Linked DNA regions of Oryzias latipes. The protein of the gene in region 1 purifies or fractionates together with the protein of each later gene. This does not show direct contact. Links are inferred from orthologs where the notes say so. Each region holds a gene or a part of one and is shown on either strand. Other genes may lie near its edges.

Region 1 (5,173 bases):
GAAAGCATTAATGTTTTAAAGTCCTACTATTTTCACAACTTGACAAAAAGGGGTCGTGTCTTCAACGTCTTCTTCATAGAAGCAGGTGAAGCAGCTCTCATCTGGATTTCAGAACTGAGAGAGAAGAAATGACCAGTCTTTTAAAACAGAACCAAGTCCAGCTGACTGACATTTATGTGGTCCTGTTCATTCAGAATGTGTTCGGCTTCATGGTGTTTGGGTTTGAGGACGTGTAAAATCTCAGAAAACAAACAAACAAAATGGGAAAAAACGTATCAAGGAGAACAAAAGGTAAGAATGTAGCAGGAGCTGGGGCTTCCTGAAGGTGAATCTGATCCCTAAAACCACTGTTGTGTTTGCCCTGTTTGTGCTTTGAATGATGTAATAGGGGAAATCATAGCAGAGGCTTCATTTTCTATTGCCGCCTCCACACGGCCCACCCCATTTGCAGAACAATAGCAGGAAACTGAAAGTGATTGTGTCAGGCGGCCTCTTCCCCTGCTCAACTTCAGGAACGTCTGCATCAGCCGTTCTTCATCCACTGTTCTTAACACAGCACGGTCTTCACCTGGGACTTCATTACCAATGGAGTACTTCACCGCATGATAGATGAAAACAGCTTTTCAGCTTTTTGACTAAACAGACCGACATGTTTTTGCGAGGTTTGTGTTTAGGTTGACACAAAGTGTTCAGCAGGTTAATTCAGAACTGAATGCGTTTGATCATGTTTGACATAAAGAGGAGCAGCCCTTCAACCATTGACTGTATGTGAGAACTGGACTGAGTAATCATGTAAATGATAATCCAACTTTTCTTCCTATTTTTTTGACACATTTAGAGTTATTCAAGTTATAAACTGACCAATCAGATGCCTCAATAAAAGTCGGTGGTGCCTGCTGGCTCCCATGAACATTTGATTGACAGATTTCGTGTCGCCCTCTTTAAAGACCCACTCCAATGAAAATTGTGTTTTTGGTGTTTTAACGTGTTGCAGCATTTTTCTCACCATGGAGGACAAATACAAAAATTTGTTGACATTTGAAGAAGATTAAGACTGTGTTTCTGAGTATTGATCAAAGTCGTGATGGATTCCGAGCAGATAAAAACCTGGTGTTCGAAAAACGCTACAATTTACAATAAGTAAAATGGGTGAACCACAGTCTTCCTGCTCTGCTCCAATCTGATCATCCACTGTCAGACAAATAGATCCATGAACGTCTTTGTTTTCCCGGTCTGAGCTGGAATCTGGATCAGAACCGGGCGGATGGATAGATCTGATATTGCTGCCATTTTTGTTGCACCACTAATGTTAACTTGAGGGTGTGAGTGGCTGTAAGCTAGCAGGGGAGCATGTAAACAAAGGAATGATGGGATATCAGCTGTTCTTGCCCACAACTCAGAGGTGAATTTCTGATGAACTCCTGCCGCTCTACAGAAACTATGTCCTAGAAAACAACACAGGCTTTTGAATTTTGTCTAAAAGCGACATCATCTTATCTAAAAGACCACTGGGAACGCTTTTACAGTAGAGGAAAGATGATTATGGGACTTTAAAGTGGCAGGGATGTGGACGTCTAACAAGCTCACTCCTGATTGGCCAGAGTGGTTTCCATAGAAACGTTGACTCCGACCGTCTCAACTACATCTGGCTACGAAGTGGCAGCGTCTATATCATGAAACAATGGCGACTGAATTGACTTTGTTTTTGTTTTGGACAAACATCAAGTATGGTCTCTTCAAGTTGCTGTTGTGGATGTGCAACTAATGCACTTGATGCATTAGTTGCTGGGAGAGAAACCTAAAAGAAACCTCATCTGCACAGTCAGAGAGTTTTCTTGGTCCCTCCTGCATCTGCAGCCCGAGGACACAACGGCTGACTTTTATTGTGCTGGTTTCCAAAGTCCAGAGAATCACAAGATCTCTTTCCTGTTGCACCCTCTTTTTCTGCTGACCATAGCAGGTGGCCTGGAATTCACCTCCCAACCACACACACACACACACACACACACACACGGACCACAACGGGTCACATGCCGTCCTCATCACTTCAGTTGTGGTGAAGATGGACACCGACAGGCTCCACGCTGCTTTACCTGAGCCTCCAAGCCAAAATGAAGAAGACAATAAAGGTGAAGAGAAGATCTTCGGGAATATCTTTGCTGAGCTGGAGTCGGTGGACTTGCCTTTGGGAACCACTTTAAGGTGCTGACTTCAGAGATACTGCATGTCTGAATGCACGAAAGCAGCGGCTGATCCTGTGTTAATATCACAGAGAATTTTCGTCATGCGTGGAAATCTGTGAACTTACAAGGATAAATAACTTTTGTTTTGTAAGAGGCAAAATTAGCATTTTTTGTGCACCAATTAGTATTTCCTTGTCACATTTTTTAAGGCAAGGCAAGGCAAGTTTATTTGTATAGCACAATTCGTACACAAAGTAATTCAAAGTGCTTCACAAAACAGAAAAATGCATTAAAATCACAATACATCATAGAAATAATCAACATAAAATTTACTTTAAAAGAAAAGGAAGAAAAAAAAAAAGATTTAAAAAGAAAGGAAGGAAAGAAAGGTAGATAGGACCTTAAGCATTTTGTGTGCACAGTTTAGCCTTTTGTGTGCACAACTTAGCATTTCCAAAGGCACAATTTCATATTTTGTGTGCAAAAATGAGATTTTATACAAAAATGAGTATTATGTCGTCACATTTGTTTTAGCATTATGTGTGCACAAATTTGTATTTGTTGGCACGAATTAGTAGGAATTGATTGTGCAGAAATTAGTCATTTGTGCCCACAAAATACTAAATTGTATCAACAAAATGTTAATTTGTGCATACGAAATGATAATTAGTGTCAACATAATACAAATTGGTGCCTGCAAAATGTCTATTTGCAGCCACAAAATACTAATTTGTGACTAAAAAATGCAAAGTTGTGGGCCACAAATAATTAACTTCTTTTTTCTTCCTTCCAATTTTTGGAATGCCATGTCCAGGGCTCTGCACATTATTGTTAATATAAAGAAACTACAAGGCAGCATTAATTTGTAAAAGTAAGGTTAGTCTTGCAGACTACATGGAAGTCTGCTCAATGTTAGCAAATTTTATTTTTTAATACCTTTATCAATTAAAAAATTAACAAAGGCAGATAGACACTAATAACCGACATGATCAATGAGGAAACTCTTTTCAGAAAATTGTTCACATCATTTAATGACCCACACTAACAACTTAGGACAGTGGTCGCTGTATGAGCCGCGCAGGCGGCTGCGACCATCTGCTCTGCGCAGGTGCAGCTCTCCGGCGGCTGCACCTGCGCAGAGCAGCGGCCGCGCTGACCTCCGCTCTCCACAACAATCATGGCGGAGGCTGACATCCCGGAGTGTATAACGGAGCACGAGCGGATCTTACAGGAAATCGAGAGCACAGACACGGCCTGCGTGGGGCCCACTCTTCGGTAAGGATGATGCTCTGCTCCGTGAACCCGAGTCCCTGAAAACGACTGCATTTCGTCGCAGTTCGTTTATTTCCGCTGTAAACAGCAGAGCAGCCCGCGTCGGCTAACGCTAGCAGAGGTGGCTAGCATGTCAGCTGCAGGCTGATGCTAGCAGCAGCTAGCTGCGACTCGGCTTCTTTCATGGTCCAAACCTCCGCAGCAGAAGCATTCTCAGGGTTCTGTCTGCTTCCGGTCCTTTTAGGACAGGAGCGGCTGCGGATCCTCCCCGTTCGGCGCTTCTGCTGTCGGCGGCTAACGGCTAACTCAGCATTTCAGTGAACGAACCGAGCCCCCTGACCCCCCCGCCGCTCTAGTTCTGATGTTTTTGGTTATGTGGGGGAGGCAGGGGGGCACAGCTGACTGGCGTGGGTGTGTGTGTGTGTGGGGGGGGGGCTGGTCCGGCCACGGGAGGGGCCTGCATGAATGGCAGCAGCTGTCAATCACCCTGGCCTTTAAACGTAGCTTCAGGCGCTGGTTTCTGTCGGAGGACGTGAAGCATCCGAGCTGCGTTTGTTCGTTACTCCTCTTATTCCAGTTACTCCACACTGAGAGAGTTCAGCTCAGGTGTTTTTAGGTGGCGACAGGTGTAGCCTTCAAGTCCCACCCACCCGCAGTCATCCTTTGATCTATTTCCAGGTGTTCCAGCGGTCTTTTCATGAGGATGATGCTGTTTTTAGCCGAAATCTAGGACCTAGTTTCTGCAGAGCGGCAGGAGCTCTTTAGAAATTCACCTCTGAGTTGTGGGCGGGTCTGTTGGCGCAAAACAGCCCCGCCCCCTTCCGCTCCCTGTTGGGAGGGGAGGAGGGAGCGTTTTATGTCTACGTCACAACTACAGGTTTTCTGCTCCCGATTTGCAGCTATTTGAACAAAGAATACATAAAGGTTGAGCTGAATTTCGACTTGACTTATTGATTTATTTCAAGCAAAAATAGTAGAGTATAATAGAAAAAAATCACCGATTTATCAAGCTCATCTTTAGAAATAAAGAGCTGCATGGATTAATAAAACAAAGAAAAATGAGTCTGAATGAGAATCCTAAAAAAATAAACGCCACAATGTCATATTAAAAGCAGCAAAAGCACCATTGTCATTGGAGTGGGTCTGTAACAATCAAGGTCATGTTTGAAAAACGAACAAATTGTCAATTGAGTCATGAAAAAGATTTGTTTAGAAAAATCTTCTTCCAATTGTGATGTTATAGCAGATTTTCAATCATCCACATCAATTCTACATTTATTATAACTAGGCGCGGAATGGTTTTTGCGTTTTCCAATCCGACATCCCCCTAACACAAAATCCTACATGTAGACGGGAACTTGAAGATTGCTTTATCGTCAAACTAAACCTTTTGAAGGTTTTGAGCTTCCTGTCTAATTGCTGGAGCCTCAGGTAAAGAAAGCACCTCCATGCTGTGGTCAACATCATCAATTTCTTCCTAATAATGAAAGGTTCTTGAGAAAAACACAGTCTAGAAGGCTTTCAATTTAATTTCTGAATTTAGAACAATTATAATCAGCGCAAAGCAAAGCAGGCTGTTGAGGACTCCCCTTCATGTTAGTGGGAGATGTCTCCTTTAAAAGGAGGTTCCTCGCCGGGACGTTTGGGAAAGTTGTTTTCTTGACCTTCAACGTCGGATCGTGCTGTTCAGTCGACACCAGAATCTCTGGTGGCTTCAA
Region 2 (3,267 bases), on another chromosome or scaffold:
CTGCATTATGACATTTGATTCTGAAGAAGATGGAGGGAGAGGTGAGCACTGGTGACAAGAGGGACAGAAGGGCAGATGGCATCGGTGATGAGAAGAAACCTCGTCTGGTCTGCAGCCGGCGGCAGACGTTCCCACAGAAATAGAACTCCATGAGCCGAGTGTTTCTCCGTCAGCTGCTGGTGCTCAGCTTCAGGTATCAGCATCCCAGCAGGAAGAAGGGCTCCATGGGGCAGACGGAGAGCCGGCAGTCGCCACCCAACTAACAAGAAGACCTTTGATCAGCTACTCACGCTTTTTTGATCTCATCTGCAGGCGCGTCCCGCCGTACTCCTAAAACCTGGTAGTAGTCCACCATGATCAGGAGATGCCCCTGCACATGGAAGAAACGGGGGAGGAGTCATATGGAAGAAGAGGGCGTGGTCAGCAAGCATCAGAGAGCGGGGGCAGAGGAGCAGCAGTTTGGAAGATCAAACACTCAAAGTGAAGAGGTGAATGTGGGCAGAGGAGGAGACAGCAGACCAGGTCCTGCAGGAGGAGGCCAAGGACGCTGGTGGTCAGCTTCCTGACAGCCTGCTGGGCCTGATCCGGGATCAGGAGAACCTGTTTACTAGTCTGAGCTGGGGCCAAAGCAGCAGCGACGCTCTGAGGAAGACCTGTCGCTAATCAGACCGGACTCTGGCCCCTGGACTGGGATCTGCTTGGTCTCAGATCTTTGTCTAAACTCAGAGCTGGTTCCTGTTCTGGCCTCTGGTCTGAGATCTGGTCCCTGGACTCAAAACGGGTCCCTGGTCTCAGGTCTCTCACCTTGACCGAGCAAACGGCCGTTGGCGTCAGAAACCAGATCTGAGATCGGTTCTGGTCTCTGCCGCGGTTCTCGTCCTCCGCCCGCAAAATTAGCTTAGCACAGCTCAGCACGAGTTAGCATGAAACGCTGTCAAAAGTCCATACCCGGTCTGTCAGCGGCGAAAGGCGATGCTGATGTGACGGACGGTTAATGTTTGGGTCCGAACTGCTACTAAAGCCGAACTGGGTCAGTCATGTCCACAAATCTGCAGACGATCCAAATAAAACACGGCGTCCAGGGCTCCCTTGTTCTTCTTCTTCTCTGCAGTCACGTCCGCGCTGGGCTCTGCTGCCCCCTACCGGAGACTCGGTGACACACCACCTTTAAACAGCGACATTTCTGCTTAAAAACAGCGGGTTGTCGGTAATAAACAACTTAGTCATAGAAACTCAATTTTCAATCTAATTTTTATTTTGCAATCAAACATCCCAAGTATTTTACATTGTTTTTAAATTACCACCCAACTCATTAATTCAAGTGATTTCAAAGTCAGTAACCGTATTAAGTTACTTAAGTCTAAGAAAGTGACAAATGTTTATGCAATGACATGTCGTTTTGTGAAACCCAAACTGACAAAGCAAAAATATAACTAGACATTAACATTTTTGGATATTTAAACTTCAAAAGAAAAGAGGCACACATTTATTTTCAGTTTTTTAAAAATCTTACAAATATGTGACACTGTATTTGATAAAATAATTATATTTTTAAGTCAAAAATTAAGCCACGCGTGTAGTTTTTTTTTTGGGTGCATGTTGCATCTTGAGGATACAGTCCCAGCCTGTGGAGTTTTTAGGTCCTGACATCTGTTTGTAGTGACAATATCCCATCTCCACTGATGCCCCCCTTATCATCATGCTGCCCCCACCAATCCAGGTTTTTCTGTTTGTCCAGTGGTCATCATGCATCTACACTGCATCTTCCTTTGAACTGAAAATGTTTCAATCCCTCATCAGCGGAAGATTAGTGTAAACATTCCCCGTTTCTTCATAACGAACATTGAAATTAATAAAAAATGGCGGTCAAAAACCCTGTGATGGACTTTACCGGATCAAACCAAACATTCAAAAACTGAAAGAGTCAAGCTGCTGTAGACTGAACCGGAGCTTAGGCAATGGTGCCTCAGATGGGGGCTTGCTTCAGTCACTTCACCATGAGAAAATGACATTGGGCATGGTCACAAGCAGGACCGAACCTTTGAAACGTCCTACCTGCAGCTCAGTCATCTGAAACCTGAAACCCTGCAGTTATGTTTACAGCTCTGGGTTTATAGATGCTGAAGCACAAATGAGAAGAAAAACCTGAAATCAAATGTGGAGGGAGAAGATTCAAGAGGTGGTTCCCGCTTTATTTGAGCAGCTTTGAAGTTGCCATGGAGGTCATGGAGGTCATGGACATGGTGGGGACAGGAATGTCTCTGAAGATGGGCTGCGAAGCGGCAGAGCTGGCCACCTTGTTCTCGCTCAGAGTCCCGATGATCATCTGCCGCATCTCTCTGCTGGCGTCGCCTCGAACGGTGAGCAGCGCCTGGATGTGGTCCTCCCTGCAGCAGAGGGGACAGAAGAAGAAGAAGAAGAGCTGCCTCACCTGCCCAACACAACTGCTGCAGGTGGCGCACACACACAGGCTTCATTTCTGAATGATCAACTCAGACTGACCAAATTCAACTGAAATGAACCCTTAAAGCTGGAGGAATGTCATGTTTGGAGACAATTTGTGTGCATATGTATTTATATTGAAAATTTCCACTGATCTATAGTCAAACTTGACATAATGGTCATTTTTGCTCTCAATAACTGCATCATTGTCACACTGTGCCTTCAGGAGTGATGCCTCTGCTGTGTCACACCTCACCTGATATCGGGGTATTTGGACACCAGCGTGGTGACTTCCAGGAACAGGAGCGTGGGATCGGTCAGCTTAAACACCTCAGCGATGGCGGTGATGGCGCCGCACAGACGCTCTGTGTCTTCGCCCTGCAGCAGGCAGAAGTTGACCAACTGTGCAGCGCTCTGGGGGGTGGGGGGGTGGGGGTTTGGTGGCTCCTAAGTGCGACCGGTGCAGTGAAAGAGAGAAACTCACCGCCGCCAGCTTCCTGAAGAGGAAACTGAACTGGTCGGCTTCCCTGATCATCCTCTCTGCGCCCTCCCTCCTCTCATCAGCGTTTTTGAAGCTCATCCTCTTCTGCATCACTGCTTTGATGTACTCCACCACCACCCTCCGCAGCGCCTCCTTCGTCATCTCCTGCAGAAAAACGCAGGCGGCAGCCATGCTAACAGTCTCCTGCAGGAGGGGGGTCTGCGTTTTTAAAACCCGGTCTCACTGTACCTGGTTGAAGGGCTTTTTGATTTTATTGAAGTCGTTGAAATAGTCCTCCACCGTCACACAGATGGTGTCCACAGCATGAGAGCCGCTCAGCCACT
Region 3 (5,015 bases), on another chromosome or scaffold:
AGGTTACATCAATAGTTATGTAAAAAAAGTAATAACCATAAAAATCGGGTTTCAATAGACTTGAAAAATAGATATCTACTCAAAATGGAGTCCATGTTTTTGCAGTAATACACACAGGTGGTAAAGCCTTGGACACAACTGCCCTGTGGTAGAAAAATAGGCAAACCTGTGTGGGGCTGTACAGCCAAGTGCTCTTGCACATTTTGTCTTTGGGAATGCTGCAGGCAACAGGTGGTAATGAATACTTATACAACATAAGGGAAAGGAAGGGTGAAGTAGGTGAGACGCAGCCATGTTCTACGTATTTTATAGTTTTCTTTACCCCCCCAAATCCTGCGCACGGTGCTGTTCAAGTGATAAGTGCGCACTCCTTCTGTGTAGCCTGACTGTTATGCTAACTCCACACTGGGCATGCATGGCGCTGAACGCGGGTTCTTGAACGCACTTTCAGCATACGTGCTCATACTGGACTGTCGCTACCCGATAGTAGCGCACAGTTATAAGATGCTTCCTGCGAAATGTTGAAGCGGTGCCAATCTTGCTCCAGGCTTTTTCTTTCACAGCTCTATTTTGATAAAGGAAGGCCTTGGTGTCATAGAATTTTGGCCGGGCACAAACCGCAATTAGTATTTCACCTCCAAGATTCAGTGTTTTGAAAAGGATGCTACTCATACCTCACTACCAAATCAGAGTCCTTGATTGGTCAAAGTACAACTAGTTAAACTTTCAGCACACGTTCGATTGCGTGTTTTGTACGTAGAGCCTGAAAACTGACCTAAAAACCTGCGTAGAGACGCGTCAACGAGAGAGCTTTGAACGCGGAGGCCCAAAACGGGCTTTTACGTGAGCACTTACATAGAATTTTCATTGAAAGTGGTCACTCAAACACGCATTTCCAAGCCTGGTGTTAACGTAGCATTAGAAATTTGATGATAATGGTGTAGTTTGTGTGAGTGTCCTGTCCTACGGACACTTACATGTCAGCATTTGCTTGGAGTCAGTAAGGAACCAGTACTCACTCATTAACCCTTGTGCTGTCTTAGATGACCCCACCCTTACATTGACATGTTCTCCCTACCATGACAAAGGTGGATAAAGGTGGAAAGATTTCATGTAATCCATGGACACCAGTGAAGATCACAAATCATTGAAGAAAAAAGGTTCAGCGAACTGTCTAGTGGGTCTAGATGACCCAACTCCCAATGTTAAAGTGCCTTGGATAGCACAAGGGTTAATAACGACTACAGTGTGGCAGTTTGGGCGGTGTTCGGCAACATCACCCGTATGTTATCAGTGCGTGTAACTTATGTTAGCCTTACAAATACTTCACAATATGCTTACCATACACAATGGTAGGTTCCATTTTCAAGGGAACTGCAAGACACACCTGTGCTCCTGTTAAGATGCGCCTTAAACTGGCCGGTCTACTTTCTACTCCCCTCCACAGACCTGGACAACCCAAAAACCCAGGGCACCTGTACAGGTCAGCCCCCGTACAGGTCCATGTGGCTAAAGCTTTAGTGACTCTGAATTGACCTTTAGGTGTGAATGTGTGAACTTGTTTGTCTCTGTGTGGCCCTGTGATGGAAGGCGAACTGTCCAGGGCGAACCCCGCCTTCACTGAAGAGTTGTTGGTTTAGCTCCAGTGACCCCATTACCCCAAACAGGAGTAAAGCAGGATTACACTGGTTGGTCCCTTAAAATGTTGACCTTCAAAACCTAAAATTAAATTAAAAGAAACTTTTTTTCAACATCACTTCCCCGCCTGACAGATCCAGAAGAGTGGGCTTTGAACACTTTTTTTTTTTTTTGCAAAACAAACGACATTGATGCTCCTAAATAAAAGTTTGAATTAAAAATGTTGCCTTTTTTTTGGCTTTAACGGACTAAAGAAAATGTTTTGGAAGTTAGTCAAACATCATCTCTTCTCTGTTTCTCTGGAAATTAAGAAAAGAACCAAACCAGGACCTAGTCTGATGAGCTGGGACACGGCACGTCGGGTCGCTTTAGGTCCACCACGGAGTGACCGATCCGGAGACAGCTCGAACACCAGCACCTCAGTCAGCTGTCGCACCCGCTCGTCCACCTTGGACCTCAACTCCTTGACCTTCTGAGTGGAGGGCTGGTCCTTCAGGTACTCGTTCAGTTTGTCCAGCAGGTCCACGGCTCCCTCAAAGTCCCTCTGGGCAATGCACACGTCCAGGTCCTCGGGGAGCTCCTGAATCCACTCGATACCAAGTTCTGCGCTTTCCTCTGCATCTGCTGGGTCCTCGTCCTCCAGGTCGAAAGGGTTGGTGGACACCTCAGATCTGATGGGGGACGTGGGAGCCTCCTCTTCCTTCTTGTGTCTGTCCTTAGACACCTTGTTCTTTTTGGTTTCATCAAGGATCTCCAGCCACTCCTTCTTGACCTTGCTGTTCTCTGCCTGGAAGATGCGGCTGTCCGGGAACATGAGGATCTTGAACATGTCCTTCATGGGGGGATTGTCCTTGACGTTGACCACGGCGAAGCTCTCCAGGTCGTACAGGTCGCTGTATTTGTACTTCACGGTGCCTCTGCGGTTGGGCAGCCAGGTGGCGATCAGCAGACAGTCGTTCATGAGGAAAGCATGGACCTTCTGGATGGGGGACATGTTGTCCACGTCAAACTCAAAAAGGTCTCCGTTGTAGACTAGGTGCCTCCCCGGGATGTCCATGATGTTCTTGGCTCCTTCGACTTTCTCCAGCAGAGAGGTGAGCGCCCTCTGCTTCACCTCCTCCGTCTCTTTGGGGAAAGCAGCCTGCATCTCCTTGGAGGTCTCATCCTTGTCTGTGGACAGCAAGGCCTGGGTGATGCTCTCCATGATGCTCTTCTGCTCCGTCAGGATGTGGCTCAGCTGGTACATCTCGCTCTCCAGGTAGGAAATCTCTTTGGCGGTTTCAATGAACTGCCTGTAGTTCTTATAGACATTTTTCTTCAAATTCTGGGCCGTTTCGTCGGCCAGGTTTTGGATTTTTTGCCGATGCTCCTGCAGATCCCTGTCGCCGTCGGACTGCTGTGACAGCTGTTTGACGTACGTTTGCGGATCGAAATTGGGAGATTCGAGAAGTTTCCGCAGCCGGTTCCCTGTTTCCGACATCTTTAGCTGTGTTTGCAATTATTTACGAACGCGAAATATTAGTAAAATGGCTATGAAATGTACGAACAAGACGAGTGCATCGAAGCTCCTTTTACATCCGCTTTCACTCCAACAGGAAGCTGTAAGCAGCAACACCCGAACGTCACGTGATCAGAAAAAGTTTAAAAATAAAATCGTAAAAAAATTATTTGATTATCTTTAGGCATAAGATAATATAAATTTTTGATTATGATTCGTAAACTTTATTCAATTGTAACAATTGAATAATTTAATTTAAATATCAGATATATGTTTACTAAAGTTCCCAGAACCCATCGCTAATATTTGTGCTAGCGATGCTTGCAATCTTTACCGGAAGTGGTAACCAAAGCATACAAAATAATTACATTGAATTATAAAAAAAAGATCACCGTCAAAGCTACCCAAATTAAACTATTGAATTTTTCTTTTTACTATATATATTGATATACTGAGCATAAAAAAGTGCCCATGTTATATATATATCACAGTGTTTTAGTTTAGACAATTAATTTTAAAACATATCATTATAATAGACAAAAATGATTAAGTAACCATATTTGGGACCAAAACGCCTTTAATAACTCATTTTTTTAATTTGAAAAACAATCACGTACGGGACTTCGCGGAACTTGACAGCAGGTTAGACCAAAAGACAGAGTAAAATTGCATTGATGCAAAAACAATTTCCTTAAAAGCTACGCGGCTTTCAATTTCAATTAATAATATACTAAGAAAACACATACGTGCCTACGTTTAGATATTCAAAATACTTTGAACAAAAACTTTAATATGTTTTATTGTGAAAAAAATAAAATAAAACATTACCGGAAGGTTTGTGGAAGATGACAGGAAGTTGTTGGCTCCAGCTTCTTACTCTTTTTTATTAAATTGTTTCCGTTTTTATGTTTAAGCGTCCGTTTTGCGAAAAAATGATGACATAAATTCGTTTTTTTCTTTATGAGTTTACACTGCTAAATGTAGTACAACTGGCGCACTGATTGGTTTTTAGAAGTTCGGGTTAGCCAAAGCTAAATGGCAAAATAGCAGCAGTGATGGACGAGGACTTTCTGCTCGCCGTTCAGCTACAGGAGCAGTTTGACCATGAATATGAATCTTCACTGGTTTCATCTCTAAGTTTTAACGAAGGGGAGTTCGGAAACAACAGCAAAAAGCGGAAAGTGGAGCTTGCCGGTGGGGCCAGGGATAGAAAGCCAACTTCCGGCGTTGAGCGGCCGCTAAGCATCGTGGATGATTCCTGGGAGATGCTGGATCCCAGCCCTGATGTTAGAGCCATGTTTTTGGAGTTCAATGACATGTTCTTCTGGGGCAAACTCAGCGGAGTGGAGGTCAAGTGGAGTCCCAGGATGACCCTGTGAGTCTATTCTGACTTTGGACATTTGGTTTAAGCTGTTTCGGAGCCTAAACTGACCTCACCGATTTAGATCAAAACTAAAACACAATGGATTTTTAATGGAAACGTTGAAACAGGGAAATAAAAGCTTTAGAGAAAGCAAAAAATTTTTTTTTCTCAAATAAAGTGGACAGATTTTGAAGAAAAAGCTCAATAAGTCAAAGTCAGCTTTATTGTCAAGTATGCAGCATACATACAGATTAACAGCACAGATTAAATTACTTTCCTCTCGCCCCACAGTGCAAGCAGCTTATAAAATAATAAAATAAAATAGAATAAATGCAAATAGATACATAAATTTAAGGTTATATTGAAGATTTTGGGTGTAAGTAATGTCATTGGATCAGTGATGGCAATTATGTCTAAAAAAATGCTTCTACTCTCTTTGGTTTCCTCTTGCAGGTGTGCTGGCGTTTGCTCCTATGAAGGTCGAGGTGGACTGTGTTCCATCAGACTCAGTGAACC
Region 4 (4,492 bases), on another chromosome or scaffold:
TTGAGAGCATGATGGAGATGTGCGAGTATGCCATCTCTAACGCTGAGGCTTTTGCAGAAAAGCTCTTCAAGGAACTGCAGGTCTTAGATGGGGTGAGTAATACAACCAACTATTTCAGAGCCATATTTATCATCTTTGTCAATATTCATCTTCTGTCTCTTTTAGGCCAACATTCAGTCCATCATGGCGTCAGAGAAGCAGGTGAATATCCTGATGCAGCTGCTAGATGAGGCACTTGGAGAGGTGGACACCATAGAGGGGAAACTGAGTAGCTATGAGGAAATGCTTCAGAGCGTCAAGGAGCAGATGGACCAGATCTCTCAGAGCAACCGCCTAATTCAAATCAGCAACACTAACAACGGCAAACTTCTGGATGAGATCCAGTTCTTAGTGGTAACAAATTCTTTGAATCAGTCCAGAGGTGTCAGAGAATTGAGCTTGAGTTTCTCAGATGGGCTTTGACTCACTTTTTCATGCAGAATTACATGGACTTGTCTAAGGGACACATCAGAGCTCTGCAGGATGGGGACCTCACCTCCTCTAAAGGAATTGAGGCCTGCATCAACGCCTCTGAAGCCCTTCTGCAGTGCATGAATGTTGCCCTCCGACCAGGTAAATTTACATGAAGCCTTGTTATCGTGATCGTCTGTTTTTTGTCTTCGTTTGAATGGAAAGTTGTGCACCTTTCTCTGTTCAGGCCATGAAAAGCTGTTGTCTGTGAAACAACAGCAGCAGATGTTTACCGATCTGAGGGACACATTTGCCCGCCGCCTCACCAATCACCTCAACAACGTGTTTGTCCACCAGGTAACACACTCGCCATTATTAGAACTTCTTTACCAGTACTTCTGCTGAGGTTTACAAAAAAAGGAAGAATACAGTCAGAGACATCTAAAAGCTGCTATGAGATGTGGATTTAATGTTGTATTTCCATGTAAAAAAAATTCAAGTACGAACTTTTCTTTTTAAAATAATCATGGAGGAAATACTTTTTTGATACCTTGCTGATTTTGAAGGTTTGCTTACTTAAAAATAGACAGCCTGTCATCCTAATGATAGGTTCATTTGAACAGTGAGAAATTGAAAATGTCTTTAATGAATTAATATGCATTTATTTGCATTTCACTGAGGGAAATAAGTACGGTATTTGATGCCCAAGTAACCATTAAGAGTTCTGTTTCGCACAGACCAATTAGATTCGCTTAATCAACCTGTTACCTGAATTGAAGACGCCTGTCCACAGAATCAGTCCATTAGTCAGACTCCAAACTCTCCAACATGGGAAACACTAAAGAGCTTTCAGTGGATTAAAGGGCGACGATTGTACTCTTGCACAAGACCAGAATGATTTGCAGAACCATCAGCAAGAAGCTGGGGGTTAAGGTGACAACTGCAATTGGTATAAAATACATGAACATGACCATCAATCCACCTACAGTCAGGACCATAAATATGTTGACATAGATGTGAAAAACTAAAGCATTTTCTAAACACAATCCCTTCATTTCATGGGCTGGTAAGTAATTGGACAAATTAAATAACTGAACAACAAAATGGTCATTACTCACTTCCCATGAGTCTTGGGGGCTTAAGGTGGGGCTATCCCTCAGGTCGCCACACTGTGTTGTAGATTGAGGATGTACAGTGAGGTCAATAAGTATTTGATCACCCTGTGATTTAGCAAGTTCTCCCTCTTAGAAAACATGGAGGGGTCTAAAATTTTCATCATAGGTGCATTTCCACAGTGAGAGACAGAATCTGAAGAAACATTCAGAAATCACGTTGTATGATTTTTTTTTAAACGATTTATTTGTATATTACTGTGAAAAATAAGTATTTGATCACTTGATTATCAGATAGATTTCTGATCAGCAAAGACCTGCTGTTCTGCTTTTAAATAGTCCAACTCCACTCTGCTCATGATTCTAAATTAGTGGCACCTGTTTGAGGTGGTTAGCTTGCATAAAGGCACCTGTGCCCCCCCCCACAATCAGTCAGAAGTCTAACTATCAACATGGGCAAAACCAAAGAGCTGTCATAAGACGCAAGAGATAAAATTGTAGACCTTCATAAAGCTGGAAGTGGCTACGGGGCAATTGCCAAGCAGCTTGGTGAGAAAAGAACAACTGTTGGAGCAATTGTCAGAAAATGGAAGAGGCTAATGATGACTGTCAATGTCCCTCGGACTGGGGCCCCTTGCAAGATCTCACCTTGTGGGGTATCGATGATGCTAAGGAAGGGGAAGAATCAGCCCAGGACTACACAGGAGGAGCTGGTCAATGACCTGAAGAGAGGTGGGACCACCGTTTCCAAGGCTACTATAAGTAATACATTAAAACGTCATGGTTTAAAATCATGTATCGCATGGAAGGTTCCCCTGCTGAAGTCAGCCCATGTCAAGCCCCGTCTGAAGTTTGCCAATGACCATCTTGATGATCCAGAGGAGTCATGGGAGAAAGTCTTGTGGTCAGTAAGAAGCCTTGTAAGAAGCATATCAAAATAGAACTTTTTGGTCTTAACTCCATTCGGCGTGTTTGGAGGAGAAAGGAGGAGCATCATCCCAAGAACACTATACCTACAGTGAAGCACGGGGGTGGAAGTATCATCTGCACAGGGGACAGGACGACTGCACTGTGTGAAGGAGAGGATGAACTGGGCTCTGTATTGTGAGATATTGAGAAAAAAGCTCCTTACCTCAGTCAGAGCGTTGTAGATGGGTCATGGCTGGGTCTTTCAGAATGACAATGACCCGAAGCACACAGCCAAGAAAACCAAGGAGTGGCTCCGTAAGAAGCATATTAAGGTTCTGGAGTGGCTTAGCCAGTCTCCAGACCTAAATCCAATAGAGAACCTTTGGAGGGAGCTGAAACTCCGTGTTGCTCTGCGACAGCCCCGAACCCTGACAGATCTAGAGAAGATCTGTGTGGAGGAGTGGGCCAAAATCCCTGCTGCAGTGTGTAGAAACCTAGTGAAGAACTACAGGAACCGTTTGACCTCTGTAATTGTTAACAAAGGCTTCTGTACCAAATATTAAAGTTGTTTAACCCAAGTGATCAAATACTTATTTGTCACAGTAATGTACAAATAAATTGTTTAAAAAAATTGTACAACATGATTTCTGAATGTTTTTTCAGATTCTGTCTCTCACTGTGGAAATGCACCTATGATAAAAATTTTAGACCCCTCCATGTTTTCTGGGAGAACGTGGGAGAACTTTCTAAATCACAGGGTAATCAAATACTTATTGACCTCACTGTATATGTGCTGAAACCGCGTGCATGTTTAAAAAAGAGGAGGGAGCTGCAACGGAAGGAGGGGAGAACGGGAGAGCAGCTCCTATCTCCTTCCGCGGCAGCAATATGGTAGTAAAGGGGCTGGTTAATAAAACATACCAGTAAAAGAGAGCAGTAGTGACTTTAAAGCGCCCCTATCAGCGCGGCATGCGCTAGAAGTTTCCTTCCACAACAGTGTCACACCGTTGCTCCGCGGACGCCTCTGCGCTCCGCCCTTGCCCCGCGGGCTCCTTGTCTTTCCCTTCCTATCTTCTCCGACACCCCTCGCGAGGGGGGCACCAGGGAAGAGCACTTCGTGCCCCCTGACGTCCAGTCCCTGCACGCGGGGCGCGGCTGCTGGTGGACGGAGCGAACCGTGTCTCTGAGCAGCGCAGCCGGACTTAATTTTTTGTGTTCGAGGGGCGGGGAGGATGCTTTGTTACGGGAGGGAGGCTACAGACTGCCATCTGTCCCGCAGCACTATGTGAACGAGCAGCCGAATTCAGGAGAACCACGTCTCCATCTCACACAGCGGCTTTTTGGCAGTGTGTGAGCTCTTCAAAGCAAAATGCCGCTCAGTCCTTAGAAACCGTTCAAACACGTGGATTTGTGTTTCTAGTCGTGTCCTGACAAAAGAAAGGCTTATGTTATTCCCACATATTTACGTTCAGCCAAGCTGCAGATTGTGGCATTTCCTGCATCAATTTTATGTTCATCCAGGCTAAATGTTGTTGTTAGCGCATGTTAGCCTTCACCTAACCATTCTTCCGGTTTCGTTCTGCCGCAAAAAAGCACTGACCACACGGATAAAAAATAAAATGATGAGCTAACAGGCGCTTCATAATAACCATAACAATAATATAAGCATGCGGTGGGGGGGTTCATATTACACCTGAGCCGGGGGTGTTCGTGTCCCTGGGGGGTGGGTCCTGGTCCTTGCCCCTGGGCGCTGGGCCCCGCCAAACTTCCAACATGGCCGAGCCTGGTCGGGCCATATTTATAACATCCCTTGTGGGCCGCCCTTTTTTCCCCGGGGTTCCCCCCTCCTGGGCGGGGGCGGCGGGCCCCTGCCTTGCTCCTACCTGGACCAACCGTGGGCCGGGTGGGTGGCTGCCTGGAGTGCGGAGCGGGTCTCCCTTGGGGGGTCCTGGCTCGTACCTGGGGTCGGGGCGGGGGGATGCCCGGAACTCCTGGGTGGTGGTGGGGTGCTCGTCTGGGGC

What was found.
Region 2: the proteins of exoc6 (region 1) and exoc3 purify together in Homo sapiens (affinity purification with mass spectrometry; 6 studies listed by BioGRID and IntAct, counting the BioPlex papers as one, with this or other methods). This does not show direct contact. The link is inferred for Oryzias latipes from reciprocal best matches to the Homo sapiens genes EXOC6 and EXOC3.
Region 3: the proteins of exoc6 (region 1) and exoc8 purify together in Homo sapiens (affinity purification with mass spectrometry; 4 studies listed by BioGRID and IntAct, counting the BioPlex papers as one, with this or other methods). This does not show direct contact. The link is inferred for Oryzias latipes from reciprocal best matches to the Homo sapiens genes EXOC6 and EXOC8.
Region 4: the proteins of exoc6 (region 1) and exoc1 purify together in Homo sapiens (affinity purification with mass spectrometry; 4 studies listed by BioGRID and IntAct, counting the BioPlex papers as one, with this or other methods). This does not show direct contact. The link is inferred for Oryzias latipes from reciprocal best matches to the Homo sapiens genes EXOC6 and EXOC1.

The regions. Positions count from the first base shown.
Region 1 is NC_019877.2:23,115,011-23,120,183, forward strand, and holds the start of exoc6 (exocyst complex component 6), read left to right. Parts: upstream 1-2,000; 5' UTR 2,001-2,062; coding exon 2,063-2,202; exon of another isoform or gene 2,203-2,255; intron 2,256-3,335; exon of another isoform or gene 3,336-3,360; coding exon of another isoform or gene 3,361-3,458; exon of another isoform or gene 3,459-3,879; intron 3,880-5,173. UniProt on the Homo sapiens protein: Component of the exocyst complex involved in the docking of exocytic vesicles with fusion sites on the plasma membrane.
Region 2 is NC_019875.2:5,014,949-5,018,215, reverse strand, and holds the end of exoc3 (exocyst complex component 3), read right to left. Parts: coding exon 3,173-3,267; intron 3,089-3,172; coding exon 2,927-3,088; intron 2,821-2,926; coding exon 2,699-2,820; intron 2,388-2,698; coding exon 2,192-2,387; 3' UTR 1,234-2,191; downstream 1-1,233. Other genes in the region: dnaJ homolog subfamily B member 6-like, read right to left, coding at 291-355. UniProt on the Homo sapiens protein: Component of the exocyst complex involved in the docking of exocytic vesicles with fusion sites on the plasma membrane.
Region 3 is NC_019882.2:17,525,145-17,530,159, forward strand, and holds the start of exoc8 (exocyst complex component 8), read right to left. Parts: upstream 3,246-5,015; 5' UTR 3,119-3,245; coding exon 1,969-3,118; intron 1-1,968. Other genes in the region: sprtn (sprT-like domain-containing protein Spartan), read left to right, coding at 4,192-4,511, 4,953-5,015. UniProt on the Homo sapiens protein: Component of the exocyst complex involved in the docking of exocytic vesicles with fusion sites on the plasma membrane.
Region 4 is NC_019862.2:97,745-102,236, reverse strand, and holds part of exoc1 (exocyst complex component 1), read left to right. Parts: coding exon 1-92; intron 93-165; coding exon 166-393; intron 394-479; coding exon 480-612; intron 613-697; coding exon 698-807; intron 808-4,492.